Elephas maximus indicus: one gene and its partners. The protein of the gene in region 3 interacts with the protein of the main gene of each other region in a pairwise test. Links are inferred from orthologs where the notes say so. Each region holds a gene or a part of one and is shown on either strand. Other genes may lie near its edges. The genes, in order: C3H1orf109, RIN1, LZTS2 and TNIP3.

The links.
Region 1: the proteins of LZTS2 (region 3) and C3H1orf109 interact in binary tests that used the Homo sapiens proteins (3 or more experiments, as listed by UniProt). The two-hybrid records come from large-scale screens. The link is inferred for Elephas maximus indicus from reciprocal best matches to the Homo sapiens genes LZTS2 and AIRIM.
Region 2: the proteins of LZTS2 (region 3) and RIN1 interact in binary tests that used the Homo sapiens proteins (3 or more experiments, as listed by UniProt). The two-hybrid records come from large-scale screens. The link is inferred for Elephas maximus indicus from reciprocal best matches to the Homo sapiens genes LZTS2 and RIN1.
Region 4: the proteins of LZTS2 (region 3) and TNIP3 interact in binary tests that used the Homo sapiens proteins (3 or more experiments, as listed by UniProt). The two-hybrid records come from large-scale screens. The link is inferred for Elephas maximus indicus from reciprocal best matches to the Homo sapiens genes LZTS2 and TNIP3.

What each region holds. Positions count from the first base shown.
Region 1 is NC_064821.1:79,284,636-79,292,581, forward strand, and holds the start of C3H1orf109 (ribosome biogenesis protein C1orf109 homolog), read right to left. Parts: upstream 3,004-7,946; 5' UTR 2,738-3,003; exon of another isoform or gene 2,576-2,737; 5' UTR 2,573-2,575; coding exon 2,298-2,572; intron 1-2,297. Other genes in the region: CDCA8 (borealin), read left to right, coding at 3,521-3,617, 3,757-3,885, 6,328-6,368. UniProt on the Homo sapiens protein: Part of the 55LCC heterohexameric ATPase complex which is chromatin-associated and promotes replisome proteostasis to maintain replication fork progression and genome stability.
Region 2 is NC_064825.1:129,480,497-129,487,811, forward strand, and holds the start of RIN1 (ras and Rab interactor 1), read right to left. Parts: upstream 3,007-7,315; 5' UTR 2,925-3,006; coding exon 2,839-2,924; intron 2,710-2,838; coding exon 2,529-2,709; intron 2,437-2,528; coding exon 2,322-2,436; intron 2,235-2,321; coding exon 2,162-2,234; intron 2,056-2,161; coding exon 1,964-2,055; intron 1,868-1,963; coding exon 1,130-1,867; intron 833-1,129; coding exon 527-832; intron 323-526; coding exon 191-322; intron 22-190; coding exon 1-21. Other genes in the region: BRMS1 (breast cancer metastasis-suppressor 1), read right to left, coding at 4,460-4,467, 4,853-4,892, 5,249-5,313, 6,653-6,745. UniProt on the Homo sapiens protein: Ras effector protein, which may serve as an inhibitory modulator of neuronal plasticity in aversive memory formation. Can affect Ras signaling at different levels. First, by competing with RAF1 protein for binding to activated Ras.
Region 3 is NC_064834.1:52,643,632-52,650,842, reverse strand, and holds the start of LZTS2 (leucine zipper putative tumor suppressor 2), read right to left. Parts: upstream 3,013-7,211; 5' UTR 2,538-3,012; intron 1-2,537. Other genes in the region: TWNK (twinkle mtDNA helicase), read right to left, coding at 5,954-6,244, 7,170-7,211. UniProt on the Homo sapiens protein: Negative regulator of katanin-mediated microtubule severing and release from the centrosome. Required for central spindle formation and the completion of cytokinesis.
Region 4 is NC_064823.1:26,174,134-26,181,082, reverse strand, and holds the start of TNIP3 (TNFAIP3-interacting protein 3), read right to left. Parts: upstream 3,018-6,949; 5' UTR 2,993-3,017; coding exon 2,990-2,992; intron 1-2,989. UniProt on the Homo sapiens protein: Binds to zinc finger protein TNFAIP3 and inhibits NF-kappa-B activation induced by tumor necrosis factor, Toll-like receptor 4 (TLR4), interleukin-1 and 12-O-tetradecanoylphorbol-13-acetate.

The DNA of each region.
Region 1 (7,946 bases), on a different chromosome or scaffold from region 3:
AATAATGGGGAGGAATAACTCAGAAAAGGAGGGTGAGGATGGTTGTACAATTCAAAGAATGTAATTAATGTCACTGAATTGTACATGTAGAAATGGTTTAAGTGGTATATGTTTTACTGTGTATATTCTCAACAACAAAATAAAAAGAATTGAAATAAAATTCACATACCATAAGATTTACCCTTTTAAAATGTAAATTTCTATGGTTTTTAGTATATTCAGAGTTGTGCACACATCGCCTCTATCTTAGAACATTTTCATCACCCCAAAAAGAAACCCCATACCCATTAGAAGTCACTCTCCACTACTCCTTCGTCCAACCCTTAGCAATCACTGATCTACTGTCTGTCTCAATGGATTTGCCTATTCCGAACATTTCACAAAAATGGAATCATACAATAATGTGGCCTTTTGTGTCTGGCTTCGTTCCCTTAGCATATCGTTTTAAAGGTTCATACGTATCGTAGCAAGTATCAGCATTTTGTTTCTTTTTATTTGCTGAATAATATTCCATTATATGGGTATATCACATTTTGTTTATCCATTTATCAGCTGATGAACATTTTGGGGGTTGTTTTTACTTTTTGGCTATTACGAATAATTCTGATTCCCAGGGAGCTCTTTAACAGCTACTACTGATTAAGGAGCTGACCCATATAGAGATGTGTCTATGACCAAGCAAGAGGTTCCTGGGGATTTCTGCCCTTACCCCTCATCAAAGTACCCTCAATCCAGAAGCAAAAGAAATATCTAGAACCATATGGTCCTCGACAGCTTACACATACCTTCATGAGCTGGTTTACCTCTCATCTCTTACCGCCCCTTCTATGCCAGCCATTGTCTTTGCAACAATACCCATATCCACGTCCTGATCCATTAACACCCACTCATCCTTCAGGTCTCGGGCATCACTTCCTCCCAGAAGCTCCTCCTCTCCTCACAGTTTGGGTTAAACATGTACCTCTATGCTTCTGTAACTCCCAGTACTTACCACTATCTTAAACCCAAACAAAACCCAGTGCCATCGAGTTGATACTGACTCATAGCGACCCTGCAGAACTGCCCCATAGAGTTTCCAAGGAGCTCCTGGTGGATTTGAACCGCCAACCCTTTGGTTAGCAGCCGTAGTACTTAACCACTACACCACCAGGGTTTCCCCACTATCTTAGGACATACCATAATTTAATCGACTGATTGTCTATCTGTTCTACTGGGCTGAGAACTCCTAGAAACTAGAATTGAGTCTGGTTCATTGATATGTTCCCAGCACCTTATGCCTGGCATCCCATAGGTGCTCGATATGTGTACTTTGAACAAATGATGGTCCCCAATTTGATGGTTTCCTATTAGTCCACGGCATAAACTCTGTACACTGGAACCTTCAAGGAATGGCCACATGTGCCTTGTTTCTCCTGTCCTCAACAGTCTGTAACTCTGAGACAGAAGGTCTAACAATTAGCATAGATCAGAACTTGGAGACATGCTACTCCTGGGCACAGAGAGACCAGTGCATAGCAGAACAAAGTGGTGGCTGAAGGCTCTGGCCTTGGGGTCAGGCAGACTGGGATTAGAATCCCAGCTTTTCCGTTTACTAGTTGTGACTATGGGCAATTTGCTTGAGCCTCAGTTTCTGCACTTACCAAATGGGATTGACTGAGGTTAAGCCACAGAGGTGTTAAAAAGGTTTTATGAGGTAATGTATGTAAAACCCTTAGCTCTGACACCTACTAAGTTTAGAATACAGCTCTTTGTAGCTTTTTCCCATAAGAAGCCCTGGTGGTGCAACAGGTATCGCTCATTTGCTAATCGAAAGCTGGCAGTTCAAATCCACCCAGCAGCTCTACAGGAGAAAGACCTGGTGATAAGACCTGGTGATCTGCTTCTGGTGATCTGCTCCTATAAAGATTACAGCCTAGAAAACCCTATGGGGCAGTCCTACTCTGTCACATGGGCTCACTAGGAGGCAAAATCAACTCGATGGCACACAACAAGCTTTTTACCGAATAAAAAAAGAAAGAAAGGAAAATACAAAGTGCTAACAAGCTTCCTCCGCTCTTTTTCTGTTCAGATTTTGTACCTCTACTAAGCTCACCACTGTCAGGCCTAGCCTCTGCCGAGAAATATCAGAAAATGGCTTTTTGACAGAGGTCCCACTGCAACAGAGGGAAAGGGGGGAAGGCTGAGACACCTCCAAGTGCCGTGCTCGCAAGAGAAAAACACCCTTCTGACAGAGTCATCCTTCTAACAGATTCATCTCTTATGAAACACCCAGTTTTAAAATCTACCGAGCTCCTTACAGCCTCTCCCCTAGCTTGTCCAGGACGGTGTCACCGGCAGCCAGCTGCTTGCGCCTCAGCTGCTCCTCTAGGTCTGGGAAGGCGCGAAGTGGCGGCACGTCGTCAAACCGCACGTTCCGGGCCGCCTGCAGCTGCTCGGCCAGGTTGCTGAGGGAGGCCACGAGGGGCTGGCAGTCGCTCAGCGTGCTCCGCCACAGGCCCTGCTGCTCCTCCACCGCGGGGAAGCACTGCCGCAGGGCCTCCCGCACCGCAAGCAAAGGCCGGTCCTGAGTCATCGTCTGTGCAAACCAACAGAAGCAGCGTTAGGTCCCAGGTCGGTCGGGAGTTACGTCCGTCCTCGTGTCAGGACACGTTCTCAGCCTCCGCCCTCAAGCCCGCTTCCTCAGGTAAGGCTGTCCATTCCTTCAGGCAGGAGTTCCTGTCGCGAGGTGTCGTCTTACCTCCGGAAGCGGCTCTCTGAAGGAAGCCCCCTGTGGCCCACCTCAGGAAGCGTTTCCGACTGTTCCTCAGAGGAGGTTTCTCCAGGGATAGGGCGGTCTCCTATTTCAGACTGCGGATTCCCGGGGCCGAGGCTCTGTCTCGCTCTCCAGACTCGTGCTACTGGAGCCGGAATCCTGTCTCTGCTTCTTGAGGCTGCTCACCGCTTTCCCTAAATCAGAGGTCAAATTTACCGTCACCGCAACGAAACATCGATGACACGCGGATCTCTGTGCGCATGCCCAAAAGCGATTCCTCGTCCCCACCCCGCCCACCCGCTCGTAAAGCGCAACCTCAGGCCAAGGCGGCCCCTGCGCTGAGGAAATACGTCATTCAGCCGCAATGACTTCTGGGTGTTGTAGTTCTACGTGTGGACTGGCTGCTTGATTGTAGTGCTTCCTAATGATTGGATGTTGTGGGACCTTTTTAAGACGGCGACTTCTCATTCGCCAGCCTGGAGCAGTTAAGTTTGAATTTGGTGGCGGCGGTCGCATGTCCGGTTAGCCCCAGAGCAGATTTCCTCGCTGGTGGAGCGGAGAGGTTTTTCCTCGCTCTTGTTTTGGGACCTGCAGGTATGTGACTCGCGCCTTCTTTATGCCCAGACCCTGAAGGAGGGGAGTTCCCTACTGGCCCTTCTGGGTCCTTGTCCACCTTCCCCTATTCCTTTGCGGTTTCCTTAGTTTCCCTTCCTCCCTGACCCTTTGTCATTCGGTCTCCCCCGTCCCCACAGCCTCCACCGAAGCACCATGGCTCCGGCTAGGAAGGGCAGCAGTCGGTCGACTAAGACCAATTCGTTGCGGAGCCGGAAGCTCGCCTCCTTTCTCAAGGACTTCGACCGTGAAGGTAAGGGGCGGGGCCCGGGTCGTGGCACCTACCTGGAACCATCGCTGGGTCCCGGCGGGTTGAGACGCAGAGAGCACGGATTCTAAGCCTCATGCATCCGCCGGGTGACCCGCGTCCTGTCGGCTCTGCCTTTTCACAGTGCAAATCCGATACAAGCAAATTCAGTCAGACAGGCAGAACCTCCTCAAGGAGATGGATAACCTGTACAACATCGAGATCCTGCGGCTCCCCAAGGCACTGCGCGAGATGAACTGGCTCGACTACTTCGGTAGGTGCTGCTAGAGTTTCCCGCAGGCCTCGGTCTGGGACCCCTCGGTGGTACAGACTGCACACTGCCTTCAGAAGGAACCTGCTCAGATGTCACCTTTTTAGTGAGGTCTTCCATGACCACTGTTGAAAATTGCCGCCCCACTTCCATCTCCTCTCCTTGGTTTATCCTCTTCCATAGCATTTATCATCATCTGATGCTGGGGTTTTTTTCTGGGTAATGCTGGGTAGGCTAACTTTGTCTATAAAGGCCTAGGTAGTAAATATTTTAGGTTTTACGGGTCAGAGGGTTTCTCTTATAACTACTCAACTCTGCTCTTATAGCTCCAAAACAGCTATAACAAATGGGCATGGCTGTATTCCAGTAAAACTTCATTTATGGACACAAAACTTGAACTTCACATGTCACGAAATACTCCTTTGGTACTATTTCCAACTGCTTAAAAATGTAAAAAAAACGTTCTGAGCTCACAGACCATACCAAAGCAGGTGGGAACAGTTTGCTGATTCCGGATCTAATCTAATACATATTTTACCTATTTTGTTGATTACATATCCTTTTATCCACAACCAAGATTGTAAGCTGCACAATGACAGGGCAGGAAATTTATCTGTAGCCAGAAAGGTATCTGATAGGTACTAAGTACTCAGTAAACTTTATTAAATGAATGCATGAACAGCTTGGTTTGTTACCAGAGCTCAGATGGAAGGGTGAGCCCTAGGGAGTTTTTTCTGCAGCTTATAAAAATTGCCTGTTTGAAAATGGGCAAATCAAATTGTGATGTGTAAAGATACAAGAGTTTTCCTGGCCAGAGAAAGAAAAATCCTAGTCTGTTCTCCCGCCACCTTGTTAAAGATTCAAGGAAATGCAGGTAGGCACCCTTTCTGCTGCATTAACCAACTTTTCCACTTTCTTTTATTAGTTACCCAGGCTATAGCCTCCTTCCTGGATAGAAAGGCATGTTCTGTTTACAGTAGCCAGTTGCCATCAAGTCAGTACTGACTCATGGTAACCCCACAGGTGTCAGAGTAGAACTGTGCTTTGTAGAGTTTTCAGTTGTTGTTGTTGTTTTTTTTGGAATTAGATCACCAGGCCTTTCTTCCAAGGCACCTTTGGGTGAACTCAAACTTCCAACCTTTTGGTTAGCAGCCAAGCACATTAACTGTTTGCACTACCCAAGGATTCCTCTGTTACAATAGCAGACATTGAATAATCTTTTCAAAGTTGCCCTTTTATTTATTCATTCATTCATTTGCTCGTTTCTACAAGTGTTCATTGATCATTTGTCAGTCACAATGCTAGGTGCTGAAGATGCATTGACAAATTCAGACATTGTGCCTCAGGAACTTACAGGTTAGTGTAGAAGGGTGATTAAAAACTTTACACATGATTTTATACTTAGTTATAAGTGCTATAAGAGCAGAGTAGCCACCAGTAAGCTCATTTATGTAGTGCTTTGTATGCTTTACATATGTTAATTAATTTTATCCCCATAACAAGCTTATTGTCAATATTATCTCTATTTTATAGATGACAAGATTAAGGCACAGAGAAGGTAGTTACTTTGCTCAAGGTCTCATAAGCTAATTAGTGGCAAAGTCTATTTGAACCCAGATAAAATTCTGTTTCCAAAGCCACAGTTCCTGGCTGTTATACAGAATACTGTGAGAGTTTCTAGCGTGAGAACCTCACCTAACTTTAATTCTACATCTGAATCTTTCAAAGACCTCTTCATTCAACAAACACTTACTACCCAACTACCAGATGCCAGATTTTTGCCAGAAGCTATGGATATTATTGTTATTCTCAAGGAATTCACAGCGAAGGCAAGGGTGGACACTTAAACAGCTCTGAGTAGTTGTAGGGTAGGAAGAGGGTGAGTAACTAACTCAGTACTTTGCAGCAACCTACTGTGAGGGAAAAATAAACAGTTTGGGGGTCAAGGCAAACCTGAGTTCAAATTCTAGCTCTTTCATATTCCAGCTGTGTGATCTTCCTCAAGTTACTCAATCATGTTAATCTCTCTGGTCTTGGTTTCCCTATCTGTAGAGTAAGGGTTGTGAGGGTTGAGACGTGGTGAGTGGAATGCTTGATACATAGCAGGGCCCATTGTTGAGGAGGTGGCTTTTGAGAAGAGTTTTGAAGGATGAATTAGGAGTTTATTGAATGCAGAGAAGTATTCCAGGCAGAGATAATAAGTATTAGGGCACTTAGTCCTGAAAGGCGGGGGCACATCTGGGGAAAGGTGAGAAGTTTGGTGTGGTGGAACATAGAGTAGGTCATGCGTAAGAGTCAAGGCTGGAGAAAGACTAGATTGTGAAGGCCCTGGAATGTTGGACCAAGGGTTTAATCTGGTCCAGTTTTAGACAGATAACTGATAGTGTAGGGAAGATGAGTTATTGTCAAAATCTGTAATAACTAAATAACATGTTCTTTTTAAAGCCCTTGGAGGAAACAAGCAGGCCCTGGAAGAGGCAGCAACAGTAAGTGATCTGTCCTGTTTTTGAACTGTTGGTTAGTTCTTTAGTCCAGTCACAGAATCCAACCAGTGAGTGGTTACTGTGGAAGAGGTTCCATAGGGAACATGATCTGCTCATGTCGTGACACAAAACTACAAATCAGAGCTTCTGATATAATATAGCCAATGTTATTACACCAGGTTGAGAGAAGTCTAGTCTTAAAACCCAGGGGAAGGATGAGACTTGGGTATGGAAGCTCTTAATTGGTAGGTGTGTCAGGAGTCCCAAGACTACCCTCAGGTCTGGTGATTTATTGGGATTTACAGGGCTCAGCATATAGTCATACTTAGGGCTATGATCTGTTACAGCGAAATGACACAAAGTAAAATCAGCAAAGGGAAAAGGTACATGTGGCAGAGTCTAGAGGAAATCAGGTGCAAGCTTTCTAGAGTCCTCTCCCAGTGGAGTCACACAGGACACATTTAGTTTCTCTAATAACAAGTTGTAGCAACACATGTGAAATGCTTTCTACCAGGGAATCTCTTTAGAGACTTAACGACCAGGGTTTTTATCAAGGACTGGTCACATAGGCACCCTCTGGCTAGCGTGTACCAAAATTCTAGACTCCTAGAAGGAAAGCAGGTGCTCAGGATAAGCCATGTTGTCTGTACAAAGAGTTTGGGTACAATGACCCGTTATCATTAGGGAATGTTGAGAACCCTCCCAAAATTCAAGTTCCCAGATGCCAGCCAAGGGCCATCTTTGCAAGCAGACCTTTCTAAGCATAGTGGTCTCAGGTCTGCTGTGTTCACTCATTTAGGCACTGTGAGTGATTGGTGGCCTGCCACCAGTGATACCTTCATTGCATGTCAGTTGTTTATAGAGACAGCAGAAATTTGGCAGGGATACCACCTCTCTCGCTTCCCTTAACAATCACAATCTATTACAGCACTGTTTCTTGCTAAGCCCACATGGCTTCCCTTAACTATCACAATCTATTACAGCACTGTTTCTTGCTAAGCCCACATGGCCTCAGAATCCTCAGAGCTGTGCATGTAGTCCCTGCCACGCCAGAGATGAAAACCTGTGTCATTCCTAGTCTAACACCTGTTCTGATGTCTGCTTCTGGCAATACCCATACATAGAGGTGGTAGCCACCACTGTGAACAAGTTTAGTTAGAATGGCCACTGAAAGCCCTTTGAAGGACCCAGGAGTGTGATAGAACCGTTATGGAGACCTCTCGACTCATAAAGAACATGAAGTCTGACACAGGACCAAGTGCTGGAGAGGATGCGGATCATTAGAAACTTGTATTGGTTGCCAACAGTATGTAAATAAGTGCAACCACTTTAGAAAACAATTTGGCATAATATCAAGGCTGAATGTTTGCATGCCCTGCAACCCTATAATGCCCTATCCCTACATATACAGTCCAGAGAGAACTTGGACATGTGCATCAGAGACATGTACAAAATGGTTCAAGGTAGCAGTGTTTGTAATAGCAAAAAACTATTGACAGGAGGATGGAAAAATCCGTTGGGATATAGCCACACTGTGGAATATTACACAGCAGTGAAAACAGATCAACTACGACCACAAAT
Region 2 (7,315 bases), on a different chromosome or scaffold from region 3:
GGCTGGTCAGGTAGTAGCCACCTGGGACACAAGGGAAAGAGGGTGGCTCAGTCTAGGGGTGGGTAACCTACTGTTTCTCCTCCTTCCCTGCTTAACTGGCCCAGGTAGAAGCCAAGGTTCAGGCCCCACCCAGACAGGGAGGTCCTGTGTTGGGAAGGGAGAGGGCGGGTGGGGGTAAGGAGTCCCTTACCCTCTCCAGTGAGCAGGGTGGGCTCCAGCAGCTCTGACATGTACTCGGCCTCAAGCAGCAGGTCCGGAAGGTCACATTGGGCCAGGACCAGGCTCAGCAGTGGCAGGAACTCGTCAGCACCTGTGTCCTCCCCTTTGGGAACATGGTGGGGGGTGGCTTCAGGCTCCTCTGGGGTCCCAGAGTCAGGGCCCATTGCTAGCCTTAGAAGTGACACTCCCCCATCTGCTATAAGCTCAGGGTGATCCCTATGGTTACAACGTGGAGGGGCTGGGGAGAGGGTGCTCTACTCCCTGGGCCTCAGCTTCCCCATCTGTGAGGCAGGAGGAAGGGGCGCACCCGTGTGGGTCCTCAGGGCCGTGTAGAGCAGCTTGCAGGCCTGCAGAAGCCGCTTGACCTGGGCGCTGGGTGAGTAGGCGCGGAGCAGCTGCAACAACTTCTGGCGTACCTGCTCCACCTCTACGGGGGAGGGTAGGCCCAGGCAGGTCCCAAAGGCACTGGGGCCCTGGGCCCGGGCCAGGCGGAGGCCCTCGGCCAGGCGGCCCAGGGAGCCGTCGGCAGAGAGCCTGCGCCGCAGGCGGGCGGCCAAGATGGGCCGAAGAGGCTTGAGCACGGAGCGGTGCAGTGACTTCTCCAGCACGTGCTCTGCAGAGAAGACACGCCAGGGGTCAGGGAGTCAGGACCAGGATGGGGCAGCATCCGGGGAGAAGGGCAGAACCAGGGAGGGAGAGGGATGGAAAGGAGGAGGAATCTTGGTGAGCCTGGAGAGTGGGGGAGAGGTGGGGATGGAATTCGCTAGAACGGTGGAAAGGCAAAGTGGACACGTATGGCAGAGACCAGAACCAGGAGGCAGGAGGAAATAGTGGGGAGGAGAGCCGAAGGAGGGGAGAACTGGGATTCTGGAGAGCTGGGGTGAGACTGGGCTTTCTAGTGGGGCCTCACCCAGCCTCTCGAGCGGCAGCAGCTTCTCGGGACCCAGCTCGGCGCTCAGCATGGCCCGGGCCCGGCTCAGTGCCTCTCGGACGCCCTGCAGCTCCCGGGGCTCCGGCCCAGCCCGCACCTGCGTCAGCAGGTCTTGCACCAGCTGGCCCACTGCTGTGTGGCGGTCCCGCATCAGCGACGTGGCCACCCGGCCCACCTGTCGCTCGGGCGCCAGCAGCGAGCAGAAGGCAGCACTCATGGAGCGGAGCAGGGGCCGCCGGCGACCCAGGCTGGGGGAGGTCGCTGGGCTCCCGTGGGCCCCCGGCGGTGCCTCCTCCTCCGAGCTGCTGGGGGAGCCGCAGTCCACCTCCTGGAGGGAGGGCAGCGGAGGGAGGCTGGGGCCGGTGCCCCCCGGCACACGGTAGCCCACTGAACTCTCCCTCCGAAGCAGCTGGCATGGGGGCAGCCTGTCTGGTTGGCTGGGGGCGGCCCCTGGCAGCACCGGGACTGGGGGAGGTGGTACAGCTGGTGGAGACAGGGGGCTGGAGGTCTCTGTGGACACGCGCACTTTGAAGCTCATTTTGAATTTCTCCCGCTTGGTGGGGCCCAGGTCCCCTGGGAATAGGGGGTTGAAGAAGCACAGGGCAGCGCCAGTGCCCTGGTCCAGCTCTTGAGGGGACCGGGGCTTCAGCCGGGGTAGCACCGGGCCGTCCCCGAAGCCCTGTTGAGCTTTGGTATTGAGGGTGGAGCTCCAGAACTCTGCGGAAGAGACTCCAAGTCAAGACCCAACCGTGGGAGAGGACCGCACCGCTTCAGTGTGTCCGTAAGTGCGATAGCTGGCAGAGGCGCCCTTACCAATGCCCAGATGGGAAATGGCCTCCAGCTCCTTGTGGGTGGCTGCCTGGTGGATGGCTCTGGGGAGCTGGAGCGGGAAGAGAAGGATGTCCCTGGGGCCGGAGAGGGGAGCAGAAAGTCAGGAGTGAAGGGTTCTGGTGTCTACAGGGGCAGACCTGCAGAGCTCCTCCGACACCAGGCACCTGTGGGCAGACTCACCGGGCATGGCAGTAGGCGCAGATGAGATGGACCAGGTCTGGGAACACGAGCTCTGAGCCCTCCAAGGAGACGCCTGAGAGATGGGAAGTGAGGGAGGTGTTCTCCGGGAAACCGCCCCACCGGCTGCTCCCAGCCCCTTCCCGCCTGCCAGCCGTCTCACCCCCGGGGCGCTCCAGGATGTAGTGGCTAGAAACGAAGGACGGGCCGCTGGCCTCAGGCAGCCGTACACACAGGGCTTGGCACTGGCGCGTGTTGGACTTCCGCACGAGAAACGTCTGCGGGGGACAGGAGTTGACAGCACAGGACCTCCAGCTCGGTCCCCCGCAACCCTCGGCTGGACAGCCTCAGGGGGCGGGGCAGCGCTCACCCCCGGGGGCTCGGTCCTCAGCACGTGCAGGGCGGCCGCGGCGTTGGCCCGCAGCTGCAGCCACACTGGCCGGGTGAGCAGCAGGCGCTCCCGAAGGCTCACTGTGCGTCCGGGCCTCGGCGGTCCGCCCGTCTGTCCTCCACTGGCGGCGGGGACGTCGTAGAGCGGGTCCGGGCCTGGCCTGGGGGCGGGCACACTGAGCCGGGCGGGCGGTGGGACGCTCGCCCAGCCTGCACCCTCCCGCCCTCGGCCTGGGCTGACCTTCCTCACCCTCCCTCCACCCACCTGCGGCCCTGCCAACTTCACTAACTTTTCTCCCTCCAGGTGCGCAGGAGCTCGGCCGGCTGGGCTGGGGGCTCCGAGGGGGTCTGCTCCCGGCTCCCCAGGGGCTTCCATGGCTGGGCGCTCAGCCGGCTGCACCCGCCGGGACGCAGGAAGGGAAGCCAGCCCCCAAGGCACAGGCACTCACATTCCCGGTGGTGAGTAACACTTCCTGAAGGCGGTGCGCCCTGGCACACCCCGCCCGTTAACTCTTGTGTGTCCACTCTGTCAGGGCCGTGCCGCCTCCTCTGTTCTGGGCCCACCCTCAGGGGGCTGGGACCCCCTCCGTGCTACTGCCACTCTGAGGGCCCCAGCAGTGGGGGTGCCACCTCCTCACAGAGATTCCCGAAGCCTCGCTGGCTCCCTCAAACTACACACTTGGGCGGGAAGGGGTTAAGAGGCGCGTCTAGGTCCCTACGGGCCCCAGACAGCCCTTGAGGAACCTTTAAGTCTGTGGTCAGTTGCTCATCTTTCCCTGGCCTTGAGGTCAGACTAGTGGCAGAGTGCCCCCTACTGGTAACATGACTCACGTCTGAATCTAACCTGGGCTTTGGAATTTCAGGTTGCCATGGAGAAAGGATGCTGTGTCTCCATGGCAACTAGCCCCTTTGCTTAACTGAGGTTCTGGGGGTGGTTCTAGCACTCGGCGCTAAACAGGGGGGAGTCTGGCTGTGAGGTCGTCAGCACATGGCGCTGCTGCCGGCTGCCTCCCCCGCACAGGTCCTGCCAATCTGCCAAGCGACTGGGGCAGGTGCAGACATGACCATCTCCAAGCACAGAGCACCCTGCCCCCTTCCCCACCCGAGGTCACATGCTCTGCCTGTGCGGCCACACGTTGCTCAGACTCCCGGCAGCACCAGTAGCCCAGGGCCCAGCCCCCACCTCCAGGGGGGCGGTGTATGGAAGAGCACCCCGTCCCCAGGCTGTACCCCAGGTCGGAGTGGCGGGCTCCCGTGGGCCAGGGAGAGGTGGTGTCATACCCCAGGGCCACCAAGAGAGTCTGCCTGTCTCAGGTGCTCCCACAGAAGCCCCAATTCCCCCCAGGTAAATTAGACACACACAGGCCACACCAGAATCCCAGGAAAGGTTTAATTCCAGTCCCCACCATCTGGGGGGCAGACACGAAGAGACACCCTGAGAAAACCTGGGGAGCCTGGCTTCTCATCTCCACCTCCTGCCAGGACAGAGCCCCTCAAATATAATTTATGGCTCTGAATCCCTAGGCAGTGGAGCCCAGCTCAGGGCTGTTGATCAGGGCCCAAGGTCAGCAGGAAGATGCCGTTTGGCTTAAATGAGGCATGTTTTCTTTGTTGGGGAGGACGGAGGAGGGTGGTCTTTGGGAGGGGGCGGCGGGCTGGCTAGGGAGAGAGAGAGAGTCTGGTCTGTGCAGGTCAGCCCCAGGCCCACAGTGGTGGCCACCCCGGTGGAGGGCAGAGAAAGAACTGAGGCAGGTGGTGCTGGATGGGGAGCCCGGCCACAGCCCTGTAGAGCCCACGGGCCGCCAGGCAGATCTGAGGGGCCTGTCGGTCCACCTTTCTGCAGCAGGAAAACGTGAGTCTTGGGTTTGGTGCCAGCCGCTCCGAGGGACCCGTTGGCTGGGAACAGCAAGGTCAGGGTCCTGGACGGTGCACAGAAAGGGGAAAAACACTGAGGTGAGAAGAGGGGTGCCCCTCCACATGCAGGTCACCTCACCACAGCTCTCATCCCAGTACTCCAGGCCCACCAGGGCTGCTGCACCCCCCTGCCCACCGCCACCACCAGCCCCAGCTGGGTGCACTCTCCAATCTCTAGCATTCCTTAGCTCCATCAACCCAGAGTTCCCCACCGCCCACCTTGTTTCCTGCTAACAAAACTCCCACAGAACCTCCAAAGCCTAGGTGGTTCTCGTGGCCTCAGACTGTGACATGACCGTGCCTCTCTCTGGCCTCTTTCCTGGATGCTGAACTGAGGGAGGTGACAGTGGGGATGGGGTGGGAGGCAGTCTGAGGATCTGAGGGTCTTACCATCTGATTTTCTCTTCTGAGGGGACACAGCTGCTCTAGCCTGGGTAGGTGAGAAGAAAAGCCTTCCTGAAAGTCTGCCCCCAGCCTGGCAAGATGCCCCCCCTAACCACCACCCGACATCAGCCCATTTGGGGATGGGGGCTGCACTGAGGCAGGTGGAGGAGGGTGGAGGCGGCAGCAAAAGACCTTTGTAAGCCAAGTTCTGATGGGGTCTGTTGTCAGAGACAGCCAGCTCTGCTGCCTTCCAACCTTCCCTCTCCCTCCCTCCCTTCCCAACTGCATCGAAACCTGGGCAAGGAAGGGGCCGGCATACTAACAGTGCTCCCTTCTAAGGCAGCCCATATCCCACAGGAATGTAGGGAAGCTGGGGTGGGGAAGGGGCAGCCCAGGGCCCACCTTTTTGATTGCTGTCCAGTCCTCCAGGATGTCGATCTCCTGAAGCATGTACACGATGTATGGGCCTGCACCCGTGTCAAGGAAGCAGGACGCCCAGGGCAGGGGCAGGTGACATGCGGCAGGCCAAGCCCACTGAGTTCAAGACCGACCCAACGGCCAGGGAGGGGGTGCAGGGACAGTGTGGGGTCAGGGGTTGAGAATCTGGGTTAGAGCTCAGGCTCCACCCCTACGAGAGCGCCTGGCTGGCTGGCAGCAAGGCAGCTCATTCCTACTTCACCAAGGACAGGGAGGGGGCAGCCCACCCCTGCAGCCCCATGGCTCACTCTCTCCTCCTCTCCTCAGGCGAGATCTGCTGTCCCAGGTGCACCCCCACCTCCAGGACTTGCTCCTTCTCCTCCCCGCTCCCGCCTTCATTACCTGTTCCCTCTCCTGGCCCTCTCCCCCATCTCAAAACAGACTCCGGCCTCTTCCATCCTGAAGACAAGTATCCTCTGCCCCCCCCCCACCCAGGACCATCCACTCTCCCTCCTGCACTCTGCACTGATGTCTCCATGCCCTCACCTCCACTCACTCAATTCCTACCTGCCTGCACCTCAGCTCCGCCACAAGGTGACCTGAGGAGCTGGTTCTTCCAGGAATGCCCTGGTGGAACCTGGGAATTCAACTCGGGGGCTGGGACATACCAAGGGGATCCCCAGGGTGGTGACTCGGCCAGCCCTGGACTAGAGGGGCTCATGGCAGAGCCCAATTCTACCATATGGGATGTGGTCACCCCAGAAGGGAGGCCACAGGTGTGCAGAGAGAAAAGCCATGGCCACTAGAGTAGAACAGGAGAGGCTTCATGGAGGAGGCAACACATGAGATGAGCAATGAGAAGGTGGAGAAAGCTAGAAAGAGGGGGTGGAACCCTGGGAAAGGCACAGTGGTGGGGAAGCCTGGGCCCAGCTTGGGGATGAGTGAGTGGCTGGGGAGACATCGTGGGAAACCCAGACGGGGACCAAAGGCCAAACTCACTCAGGAAGTCCTGGGGAGTCAAGACTGACGTTTCTCTTTCTCTACAGTCCACAGGGCCCAGGAGACCCCAAAATCCAAACTCAATTCTGACTCATAGCGACCGTATACGACAGAGTAGAACTGCCCCACAGGGTTTCCAAAGAGCGCCCGGTGGATTCAAACTGCCAACCTTTTGGTTAGCAGCCACAGCTCTTAACCACTTCCCCACCACGGTTTCCCCGGGAGACCTGGGACGCCACAATAAATCTCTGACAGCTGAGTTTGCCTGGACATGATCACATGACACCAAACGACCATGAACGTGTTGGTCCTCTGTCCTCCGTGTCCCCGGGTCTGGAGCTGGCCCTGGCTGCCCCCCCCAGCTTCAGGCCCCCGTGGCTGGAAGGATACCGGAGACAAGCGGTGCCTTCTTCCTCTTGCTGGGTGGCAGGGAGTCCCAGGTCCTGGAGCTGCCTCTGGCGTGCAGTTTCTCATCCCACCACTCTGTGCCCCAGAGGCAGGGTCAGGGTGCCAGCCCTCAAGGGTGCCCCCCACCCTCACTGCCTTTGTCCTCCCCTCCCCTGGGGCAAAGAACTCTGGGCTGAGCTGGGAAGCCTGAGTTCAGGTCCGGACTGCACAGCTGTGCACCATGGGAAAGGGCACTGCACTGCTGTGAGCCCCAGGTGCTTCCTTTGTTCAGCAGATGGGGGAGGGTGATGGGGGGGATGACAGGGTGATGATAACAGCTGCTGCCTCCTGAGGACTCCACAGTAGCCTCTTGGCAGAGCAACTGACATGAAGAAGGAACATAGGTGCTGTGGACACGGAGCGGACTGTGGTGACCATATGTGGGCGTACCGGCCCGCACCTCCCGTTCTGGGGAGAGAGCAGGGACAGGAGGGCATGGGGCCCACTCTGCCCAACCCCTCACTGCATGCCTGGCCCTGGGCTGGGCCCTTCCATGCCTGCTCTCAGTCAGTCCTCTTGGCGACCTCAAGGAGCAGGGCCAATGACTGCACCCATGTGCAGTCAGGGCAGCTACGTGCAGAGGAGTGCTGGGCACTGGCAGAGCGC
Region 3 (7,211 bases):
GGCCCCGCCCCCGGGCGCGGACACGCGCAAGAACCTTCACGTCACGCGTGTCCGGCGCACGCGGGACCTGCACGGCGGGAGCCAGGCTCTCTCCCACCGAGGACTAGTGTCTGTGGGCTCGGGGGCTCAGGACTCGGCGGCAGCGGGTCACCCTCTCCCCCTCAACCAGGGCCCCGGGCCCGGCGGCAGCTGGTCATTGTTTGAGCACAAAGGGCCCGGCGCGGCGGCGGCTGCCCCTCCCCCTCCGCTTCGCTAGTCGGAGCCTCTCCCCAAGACACACTCTCCAGCTTTAGAGTCCATACGGGGAGGCCTAGGGTCAGATGCCCCCTTCCCGGTCTGCCGGGGTCCTGCACCCCAGCACAAGTCTGGGGGCGAGGCTCGGCCGGTGCCTGCCCCACCCGCAGTGGGTCGCCGGCGGCACACTTGGATTTGCGGAGGCGGCGCCACCTGGCGTCCAGTTTGGAGAAGACACCCAGCCACACATTCCCTCCCTTCCCTTCATGGGAGTCCCTATCCCACTCCCCACTCCTCGCGAGCCTAGGTCTGTCCCTGGCACGGCTCCATTCTCCTCAAGCTTCCTTCGGAACTCTTTGCAAAGACGCTTGGACAGAGGCGGCCCCTGGCCCCCCAACAATCACTGGGGTGAACCGGTCCAAACCTACAGTCCAAACCTACACCAGCCTCACGGCAAACAACATTCTACTCCCTTTCCCAGGGTCACAAAAATCCTCAGCCTCTCGCAAACAAACAGTCTTCTTAACACCTACACGGTCTTCCCCACATTCAGTCTCACACATCCACAATCTCACACGGTCTCATCCATCGCATGGTCCCATGTTCCTTCTTCTCATATCTTTGAGGCCAATTCACGCAGATGCACACTGTCACACGCCTTGTTTTGCAGTCTTTCACATCCAGTCAAAATCTTAAATAAATACACTTAGTCTCCTAACGATCTTTCAGACATTGACAGTCTTATTCACAGTTGCTCACAGACAACTTTTTACACATACACATTATGTTTTACAAACATATTCCTCCACACAGATTTTCCCTCAAGGGTCTCTATGACCTGGTCAGGTCAGCTGATGCTGGCACCCCTGGGCAAGGACGGCCTCCCTGTCCCCCAGGGCCAAGGCCTGCCAGAGCTCGGCTCCGCCCCAGGAAAGAGCATCCCCCCTTCCAGGCCACAGCCCTGGCCGGCTCTCAGCTCTATTTTTAGCTCTATGGAAAGGGTTGTTTTTCTTTTTCCCTGGAAAGGGAATCACAGCCCAGCTACCCTCAGGCTCATCCCAGACCCTTTGCCTCACAAGAACAGCCTGAGGCCCCCTCCCCAGAAGAGACCCCCTTGTCTGGCCTTTTCCTGATCCCAGCCTCCAGGGACACCAAGTGCCTCCACCCCTTCCCGGCAGTCTGCCCAGAAGCTCAAGCAGCAGCTGGGCTCAGCATGTGTGTAGGGGGGCGGCGTGGGGGCGGAGAGGGAGACAGAGGACCGCTGCCCACCACCCTCGGGGAGAGCTTGGACTCCTTTCTGCTAGAGGGGGTAGGCCCAGTCGGTATGAAGGGCTGTTTATACTCATGCGCTCTCTGGCGGGGGTGGGGGGGCTTCCACTCTTGCATGGGTGGGATTTCTGTTCCTCCATTCGGGGGAGGAACTCCCAGTCTTGTCAGAGGGGATGGGGTGGTAGGAAGGGGATCCACAGACACTCAAGCAGCTGCTCCCTGGGATGGGAGTACCGGGCGGTAGGGGGCAGCTGTCCATTGCTACCAAGGAGAGTACCCCCTCATACCTTCAGGGATGGGAACACTACGAATATGTTCAGGGGAGGAAGGGCGAGGAGCCCAGTTAATCCCACCCCCGCCCAACAGTCTCCAATTCGGTGCCACCCCGGCTCTAGGGGGCGTTGTGCTCCCATTTCTGGGGGAGGGCTTATCACCGCTCGAAGGTCGAGGCGTAGAATGGAATACTGCCCATTGTGGAACCGTGTAAGCTCGCCCGGGCCTGGGGAGGGGGTCCCTGCAAGTGGCAGGAGTCGGGGGAGTACAGCCACAAGGCTATGGCACAATCACGTGCTCGGCGCCTGTTTACGTCTCAGTCTTCACCTGGCTGCGGTGGGGAAGCTGGAACCTCCCGATGCGTCCCACCCGGTCCGCCCCCGTCGGCGCTCACCGGGCTGCCCCTCTCCCCCGCCCCTACCAAGTACGCGACAGGAGAGTGCCCTGCCCGGGGGGGGGGGTCCTCGCGGGCCGGTGGCGCTGTCCCTGAGACTGCAAGGGTAACCCACTGGGCACCTCCTTTTCTGAATGCACGTGTGTTCGTGTCCCACGTGCGTGCGTGTCTCTGTAGCACGCGTGTGAGCCCCTCAGTGCAAGTTTCTGTCTCGCCTCCTTGTGCAGAGTTCCTTGCCTGTCCCCCATGGAGTGGGGACCTCCCTCTTCACCCCAGCCCTCAGCTTTCCGGGACGGGGAAAGTTCGCTCCGGAGCAGGAATGTGCTGGAGGCGGGAGTTCCTACACCTCCGCAGTCCCGCCACTCACCCAGCACCACCTGCACCGCGCTCCAGCTCCAGTCCGGTGCCTGCTCCAGCGGGGGAACCTCTGCGCGGCAGATCTGCCGGCTTCCAAGCCCGCTCAGGGCTCCGGGAGCCCGCCTGGCCCGGCCTGGTGAAGCGGGGCGGGGCGGCTGAGGCCGCGCCCCCGACCCAGGGAGGGGAGTGGTCTGCCCGGCACCCCCTCAAGAGCCAACCCAGTACCCAGCAGAAGCTGGACAGTGGCCCGAGGCTGCTCCTCTGGCCTCTGACTTCACCAGCTTCCTGAACTTGGCTTTCAACCTAGGGAAGGGGCGAGCAGCACGTGACCGAGAGCTAAGCTACTGGCCGCCTAACTAAGCTGGCTATAGGGCTTGACGGGGCCACCTTCCCTGCTCCATAGGGAGCCCAATCTGGTCCACTCCCAGCCCACTTCCCAAACAGGGAAAATCCCTGGGGAACAGACAAAGAAGTCTCGGGTTTCACCAAAACAGCCCTCCCCCCACTTCATCTTGGGGCTGCCCAAGCAGAACCAGCGCCACCCTCTTGACTGGAGTAGGTGTCAGCCCAGGTGAGGAGGCCTGCCAGTTCTGGCTCCCATGGGGCATGGCCAAGCTTCCCTTAGACTCATAAAGTCCCACCCACATGCACAAACAGGAAGTTGGCCTGTATTGCAGGGAGGCACCCAGGACTTCCTCCCCCCATGGCACCCAAAGCAGCCTGTGTCTGCAGGTATCTGGGCCATATTTGCAGCCTGAGTACTTGAGCTGTAGGAGACTCCAGTGAGTTTCCTATTTTCTCAAACCCATCCACAGTAGTCGGGAAGCTGCTGGAAGGCCAAAGCTGCCCCCTCACCCTGGAGACCCTTCCTCTCATCAAGTATGAGGCACAGTGTCAATCTGAGGACAGGACCTCACTTGACCAGGTTCTCTCTGAGCTCTCAGGGAGATTCTTACATCTAGCTGGAGGGAGGCAGAGCTGGTTCTATCCCAGGTAATGTCCACTTTGGCTGGGTACGTGGACAGCGGGCCTCCAGGGACCTTAAATAGGGCCCGGGGGTCTCCACTGCTTTCTACACTCCAGGAGCTCCTGTATCTACTTAGGGCCATATCTTGATATGGGGAGTTTAAGGCAGGTGTGGAGTGGAAGATGTTTGGGTAGGGGGTGGGGCTAGCAGTATTTATCTTCCCCTCCCCCTCATCATTCTGGTTTCTGCTGCGTGGGGGTGTCTGCTAGGAGGGTGAGGCAAGACAAACAGGCAAGTATGTATCCATCCCTGTATCCCCAATTCCCACAAAAACCTCAGAGGTTCCCAGGAGGGAACCTCTGAGGATTTCCTGAGAACAAATCCGGCTTCTAAGAGACCAGAATGTCAAGCCCACGTCCTCATAGGCAGGACTGACCTGGTGTTCTGAGTCTGGAAGGCATGGCTGACATCCAATGTTATAGATCCTGGATGAGGCCTAGACCAGCCAGCGGCTGGGAATGATTACTGCGGGATTAGGGAGGCCTGGCTCCAGCCAGTCTGGGAGACAGACACCCCCCCACCCCCTCAAAGAAAGGAGGCCCTGGAGGAGCTACCCTTTTCCATATTCTGTCCCACAGAGAACAGCTTTGGAGCAGCTTTGCTCCAGGTCTTCCCAGGAGACATTTGTGGTCACTGTTCCCATGCTCTGCAGACCAGACCCCATACCCTTCCACAGGGTCCCAGAAGCACCCCCTTAGGTCGACAGGGAGAACTTGACAAGGCAGCCCTGCTTCCAGGGAGCAGGAAAGCTTTCACCCTACCCTTACAAAGGGCTTCTCCCAGCATCTTCAGAACACCTTATGTTCTCACCACTGTTTCAAAAACGAATAGGCAAATCTAAAGGGAAGCTGGAACTTTAGGATAGCCGGGGAAATGAGGTGGGAAAGTGTCATCATTTAGGTACACTAGTTCTGACAGGGTCTGTGGATTGCCTACTTTACAACCTCCTGCACGGCTTGTTAAAAATGAGGACTCCTGTACCCCTCCCCAAACTCCAGAATTAGAAATGTATGTGTGGCAGGATGGGGGTGGGGAGCAGGGCCTAAGTTCTGCATTTTTAACAGGATCCCCAGGAGTCACGGTATGCACTAACACAAGGGAAACATCAAGAGAGAATATGCTGAGCAGAGCCCACATCGAGGGAGGCCACTGAGTGGCTCACATCAGAGGGACAGCTGGTCAGGCAGGGCCTGGGCATGTGGCCCAGTGATCCACAGCGCTGTCAGGAATCACATGGAGCTCAAGGAAGTTAAGGATAAGGATACCCAGAAGAGGCGGTGGTGGTGGTGCAAGGCAGGGGGGTAGGGGGAATGAACACCCTTCGGTGACCTAGCTCCCTTGGGAACCCTCAGCTCAAATGCTGGAAATGGTGAAGGGACCCATCCATCCCCAGAGTGAAAGGAGAGTCCAGTTATAGACTGGAGACACCTGGTGGACAAATTAAAAAAAGCACAGAAACAAAGGCAGTGGGATTTTTTTTTTTTTTAAGTAAAACTGGAAAAGGCTGTAAAAATTCATGGCTGTATCTACTCCAGAAACACTGCCTACTTGAGGCAGCAAACCCTGGAATCTATGTCCAGGGGGCACACACTCTGGGCTCACAGCTTCCTTCTGTGGCTGCTGCTAAGAAATCCAGGAGGAGGTGATTCCCAATTTTGGGGCCCTGATATTCCAGGGCCAAGCACCTAGGATGCCAATTCTAGCAAATGCCCTCTCGTGACAGGCTCCATAGAGTAGGGAGCAGAGGAACTGGCACCCACCATATCACCCCTTGGATCTGAAAACCTCGGCAGGAGTTTTGACAAGGAACCCCTCATTCCCCTCCAGGTTTAGAGGCATGACCTCGCTGTCTTAAACTTGATCATTCCCACCTCAGGGCCTCTGTACTTAACACTCGGGCTACTGGGATCTCATCTTCCTTCTGATGTTCACGTGGCTTGCTCCTTCTGGTCCGTTAGACCCCCGCTCAAATTTCTCTGCTCAGAATGCCTTTTCCCACCGTTTAAACTAGCCTGCAAGCACTATCACATTACTGCTGTGTTTTTAGCGCTTTTGACTATCTAAAATTATGTTTTCTGCTTATTTGTTCATTGCTTGCCTCATCTCCCCCACCAGAATGCAGGTCCCATGGAAGTGGGGACCACATCTGTCATGCTCATTGCTCTATCCTGAGGACCCAGAACAAAGCCTGGTACAGAGTAGGTTCTCAGATACCTGCTAATTCTCTCATTACGGAACACCACCTAGCCTAGGCCCCTCAGACTGAGAAGGGCCCACAGCTCAGCACCATAGTCAGTGGTCAGAAGCCAGGAGTCTTTGCCCCAACCTGTCCTGTCAGGCTCATTTCAATGTCCAGCTCTGCACTGCCCTCACCATGAAGGCTGGCAGGTGTCTGGCTGCTAGGGGTTGGGGATCTGGTCCAGGCACATCTCAGAGTTCTGAGGCACAGTCCCCTTTTTGCCAGAAGAGGACTTTTTGGCCACTAGTCCATTGTCGTCCTTGATCTTTTTGAGTCGAGTCTTGCTCTTTGGTGGGACGGAGAAGGTGAGGGAGCTCTTGTTGAACTCGAGCGGGAAGACACCTACATCTCCATCAAAGCGGTTCTTGGAGACCTGCAAATACCGTTTCCCTGGCCCAGTTACCAGTTTCCTGTCCTGTAGGATCAGAACGTTGTCTGCTTCCTGGCTTGCCTGGGAGTTGGGGGGCAGAAGGAGGAAGCCGGGCATGAGAAGACATATAAGAGAAGCAGAACGGAAGGCTGGGGGCACGGGGAGAAGTAGCAAGAATGGGAGAAGGGAAAAGTACCTCCCCCATCACCACAACTCTTTCAACTATTGACCATGATGCTGGGGCCACTTGAGTCTTTCATTTCCTTGATAATAAGCTCCTGCTGTCTTCAGACTTTGTGTATGCTGCTCCCTCTGCTTCTAACACTTCTCCACAGCTGGATATCCCATTCAACCCTAGCTTCTTCTCATCATTCCCAGTCTAAAAGTCACACTTCACCAGCGAGACCATTCTTGACCACTCTAAATAAAGGAAGCACCATCTTTCCACTTCCACATTATTCTCTTCCCCAGCTCCTTGTTCCATGATGGCACATAGTTTGTGCTCCTCACCCTGTATTCCCTGTGCCCAGCCCAGACTTGGCATGTAATAAGCACTCATTGTACACCTGAAAGCTTCAGGATCTGGTTGGTCTTGCTGCCCTGAAGTCCCTCCCATTTATTTACCTAACCTATTTTCTGTCAAAACTCAACCCAACCTTTGTTGACATCTCCTCTGGGAAGTCTCCTCAGATGTCCTAGGCTGACTCAGAGCTTTTCTCTTTGCTCCCCAAATACCTGTGCTGCCAATTGCAGCTTTTATCATTCTGAGTTGTAATTACTATCTTGTTTCCTCACTAAAGGAAGACAAAGAGGGCAAAGGACCAACTATTATCAGTCCATGTATTCCTAGCATATATATTCTTCATGTCATGGCCCCAGAGGCAGCTGCCTCCTGCCTCCCCAGAAGGACAGCCAAGGAAATGATTTAAGCCTGAATGAGGGCTGTCCCTGGTCACATCTGCCCGCTTTACTCCCCAAAGCTTGGGCTCCTCCAAAGGCCACTCACTTTGGCTGAGCCAAAAATGGATGCTGTTTGCAGTTCCTTGTC
Region 4 (6,949 bases), on a different chromosome or scaffold from region 3:
TGAAATGGGTCACTTCCCTTCAAAGCTATTTTATGCTGCTTAACACTATGTTACAGAATATGTCCTTTCCTCTCACAGAATTTATACACGTCAGATTAGCAACAGCATAAAATGATTAATTTTCATTACTTACCACAGTAATCTATTAACTGTCCTGCTGGGGCTGTTTCTCTGTCATATAAGGTTTTTTTTTTTTTACATTTTTAGATCAATCAAGGTATATATTTGTTGGGATTGTGCTTTTCAACCACTAGAATAACTTTCGCCCATACGTTGTTTTTATTTTAAAACCATGGGGATAATTAATCTTGGCAGTGCTTTCAAATAAAATTGATTTTTATCTCATGTTACGGGAATTTCAGTAGAAAAACATTTTTATCCTAGTCTCCTTCTTAAAGGCCTTGCTTGCTGGAAGCAAAGAGGGCTTGAAGCACTCACTGATGAAGATCAGAGACCATAGCCTTCAGTATGGATTACACCACAACATAAAGAAAATAAAAATCCCCACAAATGGACTACTATTAATAAGCAATATCATGATAAATGGAGAAAAGATTGAAGTTGTCAAGGATTTCATTGTACTTGGATTCACAATCAAAAGCCATGAAAGCAGCAGTCGAGAAATCAAATGAAGTATTGCATTGGGCAAATCTGCTGCAAAAGAACTCTTTAAAGCAAAGATGTCATTTTGAAGACCAAGGTGTGCCTGACCCAAGCCATAGTATTTCCAGTTGCCTTATCTGTATGTGAAAGGTGGACAGTGAATAAGGAAGACTGAAGAAGAATTGATGCCTTTGAAATATAGGGTTGGTGAAAAATATTAAATATAACATGGACTGCCAAAAGAATGAATAAATCTGTCTTGGAAGACGTACAGTGAGAATGCTCCTTAGAAGCGAGGATGGTGAGACTTTGTCTCAAGTACTTTGTACATGGTATCAGGCAGGACCATTCCCTAGAGAAGGACATTATCCTTGGTAAAGCAGAAGGTCAGCAAAACAGAGGAAGACCCTCAACGAGTTGGGTTGACACAACGGCTACAACAATGGGCTCAAACATAGCAACGACTGTGAGGATGGTATCGGACCAGACAGTGTCTCGTCCTGTTGTACACAGGGTCACTATGAGCTGGAACTGACTTGACAGCACCTAACAACAACAACAATCTTCTTCAAGACATGAGGCCACCATGTGAGTAAAGGGCATTTCTTTTATTCATAGTCCTTCATCCTTCATGAAGCAAATATTTGAAAGATCCAAACTGTCACCACTCCAAACAGATGGGAGGACAATTGTGACTGAAAGATATTCCTCTAAAAATTCTCCTTTATCTAATATTAATGAGAAAGCAATGTTTAGGAATTAATAATTAATGAGCTAAAGCGTAAAGTGCTAAAGAGCAATTTTTAGAAGTTAACTGTCAAAGAGATGTCTGTGGTTTTATCCTAAGCAGGAAGTATTTTATTGACAAAAAGCTTAATAAGCAGCTTTGCCCCTCTCACCATTCCTCACCTCCTCCTCCATTCTTCTCCATAAAGAAGCCTAACACCAGAGAAGAAGGGAGTTTTCAAGGAGTCAGGGTACAGAATTAGATCATTGATCAAGCATCTGGGATTGTTAACTATATCATTCCACAGGTTCCTTTGGCACTGGTATGTTTCAGGTTCCTTTAAGAGGAGGAATTGAATTTAACACTCACTTATTATTTTTCCCTTATTAATGCCTCATTTATCTCATGAAAACTGGGAAATAATATAGTGGATGCAAATTTCAATGAAAAAGTTCAATAGAAAACCAGTGATATACTAATGAAAATAAATACATTGTGGAGTGAGAAAGCAGGAGCAAGCTGAGGGGGGAGAGAGCAATACAGAATGAGAGTGAGAGAGAGAATAAAAAGGAAAGAAAAAGATAAAAATACAAGAGGTTATCTTTCTCCTCTTTCCCTAATTTCCTGGACTATAGTACTTCAAAAATACATTATAATTCTGATTTTTAAAAAATTTCCTGAAAAAACTCAGGGGGACATGTCTGAAAATAGTTTGTTAACATTAGCATTGATCCCTTCCACAAATACTTGCTTATTACCCATAGGATTAAAGCTCTGTGCAGTCCTTACACTGGAGGGACAGGTCAGTAGATGCCATGTCATTTAAATGAGTACTCTCAGAACTTCTACAACAGGGCGGTACCAGAGATTCCCAAGAATTAAGTATCTCAGCATTTCACAGCAGGAAAGTTTGTGACTAAGCCAGAAACTTCATGCTGCAAGATTAATGAAACATTGTCTCTATGCCCAGAGGCATAGGTCTACCTTTGTTCAACGCTGGTTTTTCAAAGTAAACCTTCTCGGAAGACAATTTGATTGGTTACACTTAAATTATACTTAAGCAAGTTTATTTTCCAATCTCCTTTGGAAATTTTTACTATTTGAATAAGCAGCCCAGTGACTTTCTATTTAGAAATACATTCTTTTAGAATTTTCTATGCTTCTCATCACCCTGATTATAGAATACAGCAATGAAGAGTACAGCAAACACACTGTCTGGACACTTGTCGTAATCACTGCTTAATCAAGATTAACCTCCGTAGTATACTAAGAGAGCAAACATAGTAACATTACTCATAGAAGAGCTTAAACTTCGTTATTCTTTACAGAATTTCCAGAAATAACAAGGTAAATAGGATCACATTTATATAGTTAACTGCGACATTTCCAAGGCTTATTTTATCTGAACTGGACAAAAGGGCGAACTGGTAAAAGCTATACACATTTGAAAGGAAAACACACTTGCAACACGTCCTATCTATCTCCCACCTGGAACCCATGAAGCCATATCTGAATTGCTAACATTACCAAACTCAAAACCAGTCACAAAGGCCATTTTAATACGAGCGCTTTAGGCCTTTTAAAAAGAAATTAAGTTACAGAGAACTTTTGTTAAGTAAGCAAAATGAAAGTAAAGGCAGGAGGCACCGTGTTACTCACCATACTCTATACTGAAAGTCCCTCTCAGATCTAGGTGAGTGTACTACAAGGCCTAATGAAGACACGGAGAGGTCGTCTTTATGACTCTTTGAATCAAACAGTAACTCAGTGGTTTAAGTAGAAACATATATTTTGAAAGGTTAATCCACCCATACACAGGGAAACCCCTTTTTTAAGAAAGTCATTCTGCTGCCAAGAGGCTATTAATATTCATTTCTCGGATACAAATACAACCTCCAGATAAAAGATTCACCATCTATGTGAAAAATACCACAGAGGATTCCCTCTTCGTCTTTATGCTGTAATGGAAACACAAGAAAACAATATACCTCTTCAGGCAACCGGGGGTACTACAGGAAATCCACCTGCCCACTTAATGGAAAAGTTCTATCAGCTTAATAGGGCCACAACACATAAACATAAATGTAGAATTAGTATAATTTACTGTAAGGACCATAGGTCACACACTCATTTCTAGGAATGTTCCTCTGTTTCATCTTCCTATTTCTTTCCCTGAGAGCCCTAGCACCCAGGTTAACATTTAAGCAGTCAACCTTTAAAGTAATTTAGAAATATGCCCACTACCTTTTAAAAACAGAAGTTGCTGAGTGTTTTTTCTTACTTAGAGGGGAAATTATATTTATAGTCTTTATGTTGTGTCACTGACATTACAGGATTATGAATTATGTATCTTTTTCTCATCACACTAGAAAACAGTTCTGTGTAATCATTTACAGTGGCCAACCTCTCCAAAGTCATAAAGAACTTTGTACCAGCTTGGGAATGAAATGTTGGCTGACAAGCACTCTGATAGTTCTTGGCTCTCTGTCTCATTGGCTTCTATTGAAGTATTCATTTTTCGGTGCGGCCTGGAGAGATTAAGTAAATGGCCGATAGCATGTTGGCAATATGCTTGGGAGACAGAATGTGCTAGAGTTGGACTGTATGAGGTGCTTCAGCCTCATCGCAAGAGATATTGTTACTTCAGAAAAATAGATCGGCAGATCTATAAACACGGTTGAGAAAGTCAATGAACCACAAAGGGAACTGAATGTTATCATTTTTATGACAAAATGTTATCAATATTAACCTGGGGTGGTGAGCTCATGACTGTTTGTTACATTTTTCTCTACACTTTTCTGTATTTTCAAAAGAAATGCAGTCCGTAATACCATGTAGCTTGCACGCGCAATCACTCTAGAGAGAATGACAAAAAAAAGAAAACCTAAACAGGACCTGGGAAGGAGTCAATCTCTTGTTAACCTTAGTGATTAAACACCTTTGATATGTAAATGTCCTTGTTTTAAGAACTCCTAAAGTATTCTGAATGTCTTTTAAAAAGTCCTCTGAATTAACACAAAATGACATTTACTCTCTGTAAGAAAACTAATTAATGAGTGTTTCACAAAAGTATGCCATTTTAGTGTGATACCCAAAGAGCAAGGAGAAATTCATCAACATACCAACAGCAAAAAGGTTAAAAGCTAAGCCATTCTAACAGACTGGAATTTCTAGATTTAATTAATGCCTACCTTTTCTGAAAGTATTTTCGAAATTACAGAGTGCTCTATAAGTTCATGGCATGATTATTAAAACCTTGAAGGACTACCACAGTGTGTCTAAGGACCATCTGGTCTCAGGCCGTGTGCCTCTTTGATGATCATATATCGTAAAGGATACCGAGAAAGCACCAACACAGGCTTCCAGAGTTCAATGATTCAAGCAGGAAGGTTATTTCCATTAAAAACCATGGCATGGTGAGGCTAGTCAATGGAAAATGAAACAAGACATCATTTTTATTTTCCTCCTGGACGTGTTGGTGGTGATAGTGGGATGGTGGGAAGGGGTCTATAAAACACAGGCCAGAACTTGTTGTTGCTACCTTCCACCATCCTATCTGTGAAATGGAAACAAGCTCTTCTACAGAATGGTATGGTACAGCAAATGCAGAAATGGTTCATAAAGCGCTGTACTGCTCCTTGTATACACTCAAGCCACTTAAGATCAACTGCGTGCAGAAGCTGGCCATCTGCCTACCAAACGATTTTTATTATTCACAAAAGAGCATTTTGTTTTAGTGATTTACCTTCAGGGAAAAAATAAGGAAATGAGTTCAAGAAAATTTAATAAAACTTGAAGACTAGTGCCTGAAGTGATTGATCCAAAATTAGTTTCACATGGCTTGAGGGTACAAGTGCCTGAGGGAACGGGGGAAAAAAAGGGGTGGGGGGGAGAAAATGAGACTGTTCGAGTAAAACAAGCTCATTTAGAGTTGAGTTTGAGAAGAAGAAAACAGTCATGTTCCAGTTTTCTTCCTTTATCCAGCAAGAAGAATATTAAAGAGTCTAAGTGAGGCAGTTTTCAAGCTTTGGGCTTGGGAAAGGGCAAACCCAACCTGTCGCCAAAGATGAGCTGAACGCATCACTCAGTACTAAGGCTCCCCCGGACCTCAGCGTGAGCCTGGTGCGCAGGCTGTCCGCGGGCGTCCTCAGGAAGACAGGCAAAGTGCTTCCACATGCTTGTGTTTGGGAACTAGTCCAGGCACCCTCTGCTCCCTCCCTCAGGCTCCTTTCCCTCTCAGCTTCCCAACATCCCAGATTCCAAATCATGGATAAGAAATGGAGGGTGAGTAGGGACAGTAAATACCATTAGTACAGTTGAAGAATTTACTCTCAAAGGCTTTACCCCATAAGGTTTTTCGAAGAAGTGTAGTAAAGTTCATTTGGCAATGTTTGTCCCATTTGAGAGCCATTTCCTCAGGAGTTATTCAAATTTGATTTTGCCTGTTGGGTGAGAGCTTTCTGTAGATTAGGGACATTTGATGGCCCTCCGGAGTCCTTCCAGAGGGAGGCCCTGGCCTCCTGCCAAACTCTGGTCCTTGTTTTTTGATGAGAGATTCAAACTGGAGAGTCTATTCCCATTGCTTCAGAACATCACCTGTAATATTTAACGGATGGAGGTGGTTGTGCCAGGAGCCTCAGCTGGACCGGATTCAACCTAAAAGGTTAGTTAGCATTGCAGGCTTGTGCTCCCTGCTTCCTAGCCCCATTAATTAGGAATAAGCCTTCGTGTTAAGTTTGGGTTTTCTACTTCATAACATATAATGCCATTTTTTTGCTGTCAGATCCAAAATCCCCATAATGACAAGGAGTAATATTTAGTTGGTTTCATTATTTGATAATTGGATGAAAATAGACATAGAAAAGAGGCCATTTGTCATTGTTTTGTGAAAAGAACACCTCTTCATAAGACTTTGGAAATAGTTATGCTCATGATGGTTAGATTTTTGATTTATTTCTCCATTCCTTTTTTGTCAATAGAACTATCATTTTAAGGAACTCAGTTGTTCTGTGCATTTTTGCTGACTTCCTTTTTACTCTCTCCCCATTATTGTGTGTGCTTTTTTTTTTTTTTTTAACTCTAGTGTGGATAACAAAGAGCTAAACAGCACATAAAGTATTAAAATATCAGATCTCTGCTTTTTCAAATAAGGACTGGAATGAATTTTTGTTCAGCAAAATTCTGCCAAAAGGAGGATATGTCAGGCAAACAATTAGGACAGGAGATGGGGCATAGATCTCCTTTCTGGGGAGGATGAATCACTGATGTAGATAAATCAGAAATACAGCTGTTTGGGACCTAATTCCAGTTATCACGGCAAACCAGGCCCAAAAGATCTGGCAATCTTTAAAAGGCAATCCCAGGTGCTGACAGGTTAGAGAAGTCACAGGAGAATTCTTTGACACTCAACCCCTTTGACTTTTACCCTTAACGCACTGTATTCCTTCCTGTTTTCAATACACATGAAGATATTTTCTCATCCAAATTCAGGACCCATACCTGTTTTCAACATTAAATGTGCCTTTGATCATTTCTGTCTTTCAGGAATTACCACCCAAAGAGCATGAATGTCGAAATTAGGCATTTTGACCAAGTGCTCTAAGACCAACCTTGAATCAT